2 linked regions of the Schizosaccharomyces pombe genome follow. The protein of the gene in region 2 binds, or shares a complex with, the protein of the main gene of each other region. Each region holds a gene or a part of one and is shown on either strand. Other genes may lie near its edges. The genes, in order: bqt4 and sad1. A codon is read from its position in the direction of its gene.

Region 1 (4,397 bases), 540 kb from region 2:
AGAAATTGGAGTTTCCAACTGTTCCGGCACAACCGGTTCGAACTCGTCAGAGCTACTTTCATTTTTAAGAGACTTTTCGTCGACTTCTTCAACATACTCCTCTTCCTCTTTTTGTTTAACTTTTTTAGTAGCTTTACTAATTTGCTCCTCCGATTCGGATTCTGACGAGGAATTGTAGTTGACCGGTTTTTTTGATCTCGACGATCGCCTAAGATGAGTTGAAGAATCATAGGACGCAACAGACTCATCAATTTTATCGGAAACAGAATCTGTCGCTTTCTTTTTACTGCTACGTGCCCTCTTTCGTGTAGACGTAGAAGTACTTTTTTTGTGAGGTCCACTGATATTAGCTAACTCAGTCTCATTTTCTTTTTTTAAGTCGACTGGTGTTTCGGCAGAGAATGAATTCGCACCGATATTAACTTGCGGTAACATTGAGAGTGTGGTTTTTGAGCTCATTGGAAGTAAACTTTTAAGGGTATCGGGTAAACAATGAAAACGAGAGTAAGTAATGGTACAAACCGACGGTACACAAGGATGATTACCTTTAAATGCCTTTTGTTTTAATATGGTGAAAACAATGCGTTTAGAGATTTGAATATTTCGTTTCAATAGCCTAAGCATTAAAAAATGAAAACGATTTTAGTATCAATATGACATTATTTAGAAGGAAATAAGCCCTTCGCAAACTTGCTTATATCCCTACAACTATTATCTTGTAAGTGAAAAGAGATATCGACAAGAAGTGATTGAGACTCAATACTAGTCAAAATCAACGAGTGTGAAGACAAATCTTCTTTCATTCCCAGTAAACCAAAAATGGTTTTGTATCATTGTTACGTCAAAATTCGCTATGATTTTATTGGAAGGCCATGAGATTACTGATGCTCAAGGGATTCAACTTTTGACAGTTATTGTTCAGTGTAGATAGGACTGCTTTTACGAGGAAATTTTGGTTTCTCAAATCGAGCTTAGTTTAGCAATACAATGTTAAGTAAAAAGATTGTGTTGCTTTCTCTTTAATAATTGCAGATTCAGTTGAACAATCAAAAAAACAGCAGATAGGAAAAAACATTTGAAATGAAAATTTGGCCAAGTCAAGGAGTCGCGACAATTTATTTTACCATCTGTAGCATATGTGTGTATGGGAAGCAGAAGTAGGCGGATTCGGGTCATTTATATTGTATTATGAACCGTCTTAATGCTGCTTTCTGCTGACATGGACATCTTTAAAAATATACAAACAATTACCGTGTAATTCACAATAGATTTAATACCATCAGCATTAATGAGTTGGTTGAGAAGCCATCATTGCGAAATCGCAATGTAGGTAGAGTAAACGAAGCGAATTGTTTACGATAAAATACAGTATATCTTTAGAACCGTAGATAGCTGCATCAGCGAAACGATTGGTTTTTTCTGCAAATACTATTACAACCAGTAGCATGAAGAACGCTTCTTACTGCCGCATCGTTTTTGCCGACCTGGCTGATCGATTGACAAAACAAACTTCTAGCAGAAATAAATGATCAGCGCTTCTTATATTTAACATTTGGCAGCGTGCTGCCCGCGTGTGAATATTTTCCTTAAGTTTGTATCCCAACAGAAAAGCGTAAAAAATTGGAACCACATTGAATCTTCAAATAAACAATATTAACATTACATTTCAGCATAAGCATCGACTATACATGACCTCGAGGTGTTTAAAGAATTAGTAATTCTTGCTTTGCACATAGTTTATAACGAAGTACGTCCTAGCATCACTCGATATTATCATTTAAGGTAGCACCACTATTGCTCTATACAATCAGCTATTACATAAACGTTGTAAGAGAGGAATTATACAAACGTCGACGACGGCGATTAATTGTTACCTTTCCCCTTAATTGAATACCATGACTGAGAATGAGAAAAGCAGGTCTTTACCTGCTGAAAGGTTCGTATATTTAAAGAAAACGACTAATTGATATTAGAAACCCTCTCTATAAAGACGATACACTTGACCGTACGCGCTTCCCGAAATTACGTGAAACTAATATAGCAGATACACCATTAATCCCAAAGTGTCGCGCTCAGGTAATAGAATTTCCTGATGGACCAGCTACTTTTGTTCGTCTCAAGTGTACAAATCCGGAATCTAAAGTGTAATTATCTTTTTTTTGCAGTGTTGTTTTTGGAAAAATACTAATGATGTATATAAATATAGACCTCACTTTCTTATGAGGATGGCAAAGGATTCAAGCATTAGTGCTACGTCAATGTAAGCGTTTTTTCATATCTTTTTCTAAAAATCTAAACCCGATTAGGTTTCGTTCAGCTTTCCCTAAGGCTACCCAAGAAGAAGAAGACTTGGAAATGAGATGGATTCGTGATAATTTAAACCCAATTGAAGACAAACGTGTTGCTGGACTATGGGTGCCTCCTGCAGATGCCTTGGCTCTTGCCAAAGACTACAGCATGACCCCGTTTATTAACGCCTTGTTAGAGGCATCCTCCACTCCTTCAACTTATGCGACTCCTTCACGCCCCACTGCGCAGAAATCAGAGACATCTGAGGGGGAACCTGAATCTTCGACATCTGCCACTACCACTTCTGTTGCTAGGCGCACACGTCAGCGTCTTGCTGAACATCTGGAGAATTCCAAAAAGACAATCCTCCAACATGATAATAAAGAAGAAGACAAGGAAATACATTCCGAAGAGAATGAAACGAAGGATGAAATTAAGTCTGAGAAGAAAGAGCCAGAAATCAAGAAGCAGGAAGGCGGTAGTTCTACTGAAAAAGTAGGTCAACCCTCTTCTTCGGATGATAAAGCAAAAGGATCAACCTCTAAAGATCAACCCTCTGAGGAGGAGGAAAAAACATCTGATATCCAAGATAGAAAGATTAAGACACCTATCAAGCCTTCTCTTCTTGGAAAGATTAGGTCAAGTGTCAATAAGGGCATGACTGACGTTGCCAGTCAAGTTAACAGAGGCATGACCGATGTTGCCAGTCAAGTTAACAAGGGCGTGAATGGTGTTGCAAGCCAGGTCAACAAAGGCATGAATGGTGTCGCTAATCAAGTTAACAAAGGTGTAACTGGTGTTGCAAGCCAAGTAAGAAAACCTGTCGGAAAGTTGGAAAAGAAGTTCGAGAATTTGGAAAAGAGCATTGGGGATACTTTGAAATCTTCCATTCGATCCTCTCCAAAGTCAAAGAAGAGAAGTAGAGAGGATTTTGAGGAAAACGAGGATTACAATGCTATGGTACCTGTGAAAAGGTCGCGTATCACCAAACTGGAAAGCGAAGTTTACTATGAAAAGCGGAAAGTCAGAGCACTTGGTGGTATTGCTATTGGTTTGGGTGTAGGGTAAGTATTCAATGATTGTGATAATTGGTCTTTTCCCTGGATTTAAAATCATTTACTAACTATCTTTCGCAGCGCAATTTTACCTTTTCTATTTTAATTTAATAGGGCCCTTTACCATTTTGAAACTACTGGATGTTAGAATTTAATGTGACATATGTGCTTTAATTTGTTGATGTAGTTTTTCGTGTTTAATGTGAAAATCAATTGACTTGATGACTTTTTACTTACTTTCGATTATGATTTGGGATTGGAGACCTGCTTCAGATTGATTTAGGGCTGAAATAACTTAATTTCCGATTGATTCTAGTGCACTATTTGGTTATCTTAATGTTTTATCACTTATATGAAGTTGTTTTAGTCCTGGGAAGTGTATTGTTTCCAATTTATTGCGGAATGTGATTTTTCCAAGTTATATTGATTACTGTACTTTGCTTTAGTTTTGTTTCATTAAATTTTCCTATTTTAAACTTATCTAGCAAAATAGCAAAAAGTAACATTTGTACGACTAACGAATAACTAACTACTATAGAAAACTAAAGAGAGTCGAAAATAGAATCTTCTTTTACTATGAAGATATTACAAATGTGCATTGTTTATATTCCAACTTCAATATTTCTTACTTCATAAGTAATAAAATTCGCTCGGTTTACACCCTTAACATACTATATTCAAGGTTGAGGACAAAGTTTTGGAAAAGTGCAATTAATGCTTGCGATTTGCCTACCATACAATAATAAATGCTAGTGATCAATTTTTGATATACAAAGGAGAAAAACAAGAGCATTTTCTTCAATTCTGATATTCTCCACATTAGATTATATCATCAATGTCCTCTCAAAAGAGAGCAGATTCCTCAAGTTCTTTTGATCAGGCGGAACGTCGATCTTTGGATGAAAATGAAAGGAAAAAAAAATATTTTTTTAATAGAGAAGGTTCCGGTATTGATAATTTTGAAACGGACGGTATGGTTTTTCAAGCTTCGAAAGCATTTGACTACTATTTACTGACAACTTTTAAAGACAGAGTTAATGAAATAATTAACGA
Region 2 (5,709 bases):
AAGCATTATGTAAATTTATCGACTGCATTAAAAAATATAACAATTTGGTTGACTACACTGTATTTAATGATAGTGCAGTTTAATCATTGAGAAAGCCCGGTCAGTTTGTTTACCACTGTATAACTAACAGTTTAAAAGCCCTTAAAAAAAGACAACTTAATGAAACTAGATACTTAAATTACTAAAAGCTGTAAGGGAATTGAAGTTTCAACTGTCTTTGTGCTTCAATTGCAGTGTAAAAAGTTACGCTGTTTTAGCAAAGCACAAAAGACAAATTTTGCAATACTCAAAGCTATTTAACTATAAATTTTTTAAATTTTGAAAATGTTAATAAGTATATCTATTTGCATTTACGAAATTGCCTATTTTAAATCGGTAAAGACCAAAACCCTTTTTAGAAACGTATTAAAGATATGTTAGGAAGGCTGGCAAGTGATTCAATTGCATGACCAAGGCTGGATTAAGACAACACGTATTGCTAAAATACTTGTATCTAATTATGAAATTTCCACAATACTATCTGAACTAATAACGAGTATTGTTTACTTCTTGTTTGCTCCAACAACGAACTAGAAATACCGAAATAGGGGTCGTCAAGAAGTTTCTATTTTAATAATTATCAATAATGCACTTAAATACTTGGACCTAAATGAATAATAATATATATGAAGGCTGATATATGTATAACGATAAAGAACGAGCGGATGGCTGGATACTTATTTTCTCGTCAGCGTGACGCATTTTAAACATCGCTATAGTAGTCATCTAAAGTTATATATACATATTAAAAGTACACTTGCAACCAAATGTACTTTTTCAGAGATTTCTTTTGGCCAAACAAACTAATGCTCTAAATTGAGTAAACACGAAAAAGAATTGGATTTATAGTGCACCTTTCATTCTAGTACCGCAGTGTTACAGAATTATATCACGCAGTATGAAGAAGCGCACTACTCAAGCGAAAAAATCAGGGCAAAACACTAATATTCGCGACGTGTTTCCACATGTAGTTCGAAGTAATTCAAGTCAATCCCACATAGGGAAGAAAGTGAGTTCTGAACAGTCGCCTACACCCGATGTTACAATTACAACCAAAACCTTGGATGAGAGAATTAAAGAAGACGATGAGCTTTCAAAAGAGGTAGAAGAGGCTTGGAATCAAATTATGGCTGAAAGGATTAGTGAACCAATACATTGTGAAAATATAACCAAAGTAGAGTTCATTTTGCATCACTTTGACACTACGGCAAGATATGGACCATATCTTGGTATGACAAGGATGCAACGCTGGAAACGTGCAAAAAACTTCAATTTAAATCCTCCAGAAACAGTGGGAAAGATATTGATGCTCGAGGAAGCAGATGAGGAAAATCGAAAAAGAGAATCGCTCTTTTATGATCTTCAAACCATTCCAGGCTAGATTATTTTTATATCTTACATTTTGTAGGTCTTTAAGATGAATCTTGACCCGTATTCTCTGCAGTACTTTCGGCTTTCTCACCTAAAGAAGGTATTGGTTGTTCGTCTGCATTGGGTACAGTCCCATGAACTCGAACTTGATACAAGCATGTGTAATTGGGATTTCCCCAGTTGCTTTTTATTTTTAAGATCACATTCTGTATCGGTTCAGCGACAATATAATTGGAGGATTCAAACGAAAAAGTTTGAATAGAGTCTTCCGTTAAAGAATATCTCGCCTTTCCCAACAATACAAACATCTTGCTGGACATTCCCTGAACCCACAACTCAAAGTCCTTGGGAGCGCTAGAAAGATCATGAGCAATCTTGTGCTGAACGTGCTCTATTGTGACATTGGTTACATATACAGGGCGTGATAGGGAAATTCCTAATTGTCCCTCTGAACCTTGAAAGCTCCAACACATCGCAACTGCGTTGTTGGGAGTTAATGCTATGCTAGGTTCGTGTCCTCTAACAACGAGCGAATCAAAGAAATAGGAGGTAAATCGTGGTATGAATGCAGATGGTCGTCTCACATAGCGTTTTGAGGTTAAGGCAGGTAGTACTTCCGCTCCTGTTGAGAGCAATGCAAAATTCGGCATGGAAACCGGATCGGTCAAGTATTTTCGAACCGTAGATTCGATGAAGAACTTCCAATCGTCATTTAGTTCAACTTCAAATGGGACCGATGATTTGTAATTAGACATCTCCTCCTTTAGCGACTGTTTTAATTGCTCTACTTTTTGTTGTAAAATCTTGTCAAATTCCTTTTTTGTAATTAAATCTCCCGTCGAATAATCGAATTCCTCATTGCCGCCAACTTTAGAAGGTGAATCTGTGAAGTCTTTAATAATATCTGGCTTTAAACTTGTTTTGGTGTCATTGGATGCAGGAGGAATGTTTGGTACGGGCGAATTAGATGGTTGGGAATTATCTGATGAAAATGATCTTGAGTAAAATTCTTGACCCTTGTGAAGTAGAGTAATTATTAGGAGAGTCGAAAAGAGAGTGATACCGAACCAAAGTAATGGTTTAAATTTTGAGGAATAAAATTGAGATTTCCTTGTAGATCTTTGATTCATCGGGTACCTAAAACTGGCATTTGTTGCGGTGGTATCCTCGTTCAAGCTATACCCTTCATCATCACTTTCCTCGTCGATGCTGTTTTCGTATTCTTCATTGACAAACTCTTCATCATCTCCATCTGATTCATAGAATACATTCGTCGAAGCTTCGTGTCCATTTTTCACTACGTTTTCAAATTCTTCGTTATCAGATTCCTCTTGCTCGTATCGAATATTAGAGTGGTAAGCCTGTTCGAAATTGGGAGCTGGAAATCTTTGTTTAGGAGTAATTGATTCAATGGACACCCTGGTAGGAGGGGACCTTATCTTTGTATAGCGAAGTTTATGCATTTTGGAGGCCAAATCAGCCGTATTTTGATGAATCTGAGCAGAGTTCGCTCCTAACGTCGACCAAGCTGGATGAGCGCCATTTTGACGCTCTCTTTTCCCTCCAACCGGTGTATTAGTAAACATTGATGTATAAAAGGCTATTTGAAAATTAAAAGAAAAATATACAAACGAATCAGTGATAAATAAATATGTAAAAAGAGAGACAAAAATTGAAAAGAGAGTATTGGAAGGCGAGAATTTGAATTAGTGTTCGTATTCAAAAAAGTGAAGCTTAAGTAGGATTCTGTAATTGAATGCCTTTTTGATCGCTTTATGCGAATGTATAAATTATTAATAACAGACGAATTATCGTTGACGCCTTTTTTATGTGAAAACAGATACCTATACACACAATGTATGTAATTGATCCTACCCTAGCAGAGTATACCTTTCTTGAGGTATCATTCCAATTCCAATACTGGAAAATTCCTTCACAAACAATAAAGGATACAATACCAAGATAAACACACTAGAAATGGACGGTACGAAGATTGACTGCTGAGAAAGAGTTTTGTTGTGTTTACGGTAAGTGTATACACTAAGAATTTACTACGTTATATATCGCTGACAATCGATAAATATTCATAACATAATATATGGAAATAAAGCGAGAAATATTTGATGAATAAAAATGGTAGACTGTTAATACAAGAGGGTTTGAACGCTGATGAATTAAGTACTTGAAGCTGATAGGATCCAAATCCAGCAATTCGCGTGTTTATATAAAAAACAGGTTTGGTAATTTAGGAGTTTTCGTGAGAGCATGGCAAAACTGTTCAGTGAAGTGAGAAGTTTGATGGATTCAAGTAATAAAGCAGCCTTATAAAATAGCAAGTTCCATACCTATTAATATTTTTACCACTATTAATATTACTTCGTTTGCATTTAGATTTCCAATTTTTAAAGAAAAAGAACAAGAAACCGATCATATGCTACCAAATTTATTTGAAAAATCAAAAGTATTCAGTATCGTTTCACTTTTAATCAGTTAAGTAAACAGATTTGGCATTTTGCTGTAGTAGTAGTTCAACGACTTCAATTTCTAGGCATTGAAAAAACGTTTTTGCGTTTGTTAGGGATACATTTCATCGACACGAGAATCTACGCCAATGATTTTCAAAAGCAAATTTCAACAATGATCAATTGAGTAAATAAACATTTAATAAACCTTTAATAAACCTTTCTACTGTTTAATACAACATTGCCGCTGAATATTATACTTTATAGTTCGTCAAAGTAGGATTTTCGCTTTTCATCATATAGCCAATGAAATTCGGGCATTCAGTCGCTTTCAAATTGCTTGAATATTGTGCCGATTGCGAAGGTAGCAGCAATACGCAACCATAAATTGTCTAACTAACTGCTTGTTTTTGCATACTTAGGATCCCATTTTACTGCGACACTGATACGGTCCTGTCAAAAAAAAATGAAACGAAAAATTTTCATGTTTTGAGCTTATTCATCGCTTGGTTTCACTACATTCAACAGAAACTGCACAATGTTGTATATAAGGAATCAAAGACAAGCTATGCGTAACTTTGAAAACGTCAGTATTTCAACAAGGACGAAATTTATGGCACGTTTAACTTCCAATTAGCCCGTATTGTTTTTTTGGCTAGCGAAAGTAATGAATTGAGGCAATGTCGAGTAGTATTGCACAACCTAGTATTTGATCCTGTGCGCTACATAATGAATCCTAATAAATAAAACCTCAATAATCAATCTGCTCAACCAACCGTCAAAAAAGGTTCAATCATTTCAATTACTCAACGTGGCGCCAAGTATGTCTCATGATTGTGTATTCATCTCACGACTTCATTTCATTTCTGTACCTTATACACTCACTCAGCTACTTCAGGACTAGGTGTTGCGACACAAACGAGAAACCATGCGCTGGACATCATTCATGGGCCGAAACCGATGTTAGCTTATTGAGCAACCCTAAAATCCGGGAAAACTTGTGATCCATCAAAGTAGATAGAGCTGACAATGTGGAATAACTCATATGAAAATTCAGACATTGTTTGCCGTTTACGATATCTCTCGCTATGTGGAATTGATCCGTTCGGTAAGTAAAGCAGTGCAACGTGAATAGCAAATTATCACCTGTGGGTGGTGAGTAAATAAACAAACGCCTAAGAATGAAAAAAATTTTTGCAGGTGGTTCAAGTCAGGATGCTATAATGCAACATCTTGTGAATCAACGTCGCATATCGTAATGGCTACAGCAAGGAAATCCCGGAGGAGATAGTTTTATTAACCAACGTGTCGGACCGCAATATTAACGCCGAAGAGCAGTTGTATGAGTATGTTCCTAAACGGTAATAGTAAAATTACTTTATTCACCGATTTGTAACAAAGCACACTAGTTATGGTAGGTTCACGAGCCGCTATTAGGTTACAAGCTACTGTCAGGTTAGAGCCATTGTAAGGTTATAAGTTACAGTTGGGTTAGAGCTTGTTGTAAGGTTAAAACCAGTGAACCATAGTGTAGTAAGAGATGTTAATATGTTAGAGCCATTGCTAGTGTGTAGCTAAATTCGCCCTAGGCACGTTGCTCATGTAGAGGAAGACACGAAACACGGATGAGATTCAATTGTTCTACACTTAATTGCATACAATCTTTAATAATACACTAATTTGAATAAAAAATAATTAAAATACATTTTACAATTATTTTATTACACGTGCACGCCAGACATAAGGGAACTCAGCTGGTATAAACATTTCGACACGAGCGCATTGACCTTACCAAGAACGCGTCTCGTCTATGTAAGAAAAGAGTGAACGCTCATAA

Evidence for each region.
Region 1: the proteins of sad1 (region 2) and bqt4 are in contact, whole or in part, in a crystal structure (PDB 6A6W), measured with the Schizosaccharomyces pombe proteins. Residues at the interface, in NP_595947.2 of Schizosaccharomyces pombe: Asp89 (codon at 2,732), Asn90 (codon at 2,729), Glu92 (codon at 2,723), Phe93 (codon at 2,720), Glu94 (codon at 2,717), Val96 (codon at 2,711), Val97 (codon at 2,708), Lys98 (codon at 2,705), Asn99 (codon at 2,702), Gly100 (codon at 2,699); in NP_596166.1 of Schizosaccharomyces pombe: Arg33 (codon at 2,068), Gln35 (codon at 2,074), Ile37 (codon at 2,080), Glu38 (codon at 2,083), Phe39 (codon at 2,086), Phe46 (codon at 2,107), Arg48 (codon at 2,113), Lys50 (codon at 2,119), Phe61 (codon at 2,214), Met63 (codon at 2,220), Ser75 (codon at 2,256), Arg78 (codon at 2,311), Arg107 (codon at 2,398), Val108 (codon at 2,401), Ala109 (codon at 2,404).

The regions. Positions count from the first base shown.
Region 1 is NC_003423.3:2,838,962-2,843,358, forward strand, and holds bqt4 (integral nuclear inner membrane protein Bqt4), read left to right. Parts: upstream 1-1,872; 5' UTR 1,873-1,895; coding exon 1,896-1,936; intron 1,937-1,973; coding exon 1,974-2,005; intron 2,006-2,044; coding exon 2,045-2,144; exon of another isoform or gene 2,145-2,206; coding exon 2,207-2,260; exon of another isoform or gene 2,261-2,306; coding exon 2,307-3,353; exon of another isoform or gene 3,354-3,366; intron 3,367-3,425; coding exon 3,426-3,450; 3' UTR 3,451-3,873; downstream 3,874-4,397. Other genes in the region: endonuclease Uve1, read right to left, coding at 1-624; SPOM_SPBC19C7.11 (ClC chloride channel), read left to right, coding at 4,180-4,315, 4,373-4,397. UniProt on the Schizosaccharomyces pombe protein: Connects telomeres to the nuclear envelop (NE) during both vegetative growth and meiosis. This connection ensures clustering of telomeres to the spindle pole body (SPB) when cells enter meiotic prophase.
Region 2 is NC_003423.3:2,301,469-2,307,177, reverse strand, and holds sad1 (protein Sad1), read right to left. Parts: upstream 3,413-5,709; 5' UTR 2,997-3,412; coding exon 1,452-2,996; 3' UTR 1,421-1,451; coding exon of another isoform or gene 938-1,420; 3' UTR 517-937; downstream 1-516. Other genes in the region: DNA polymerase delta subunit Cdm1, read left to right, coding at 938-1,420.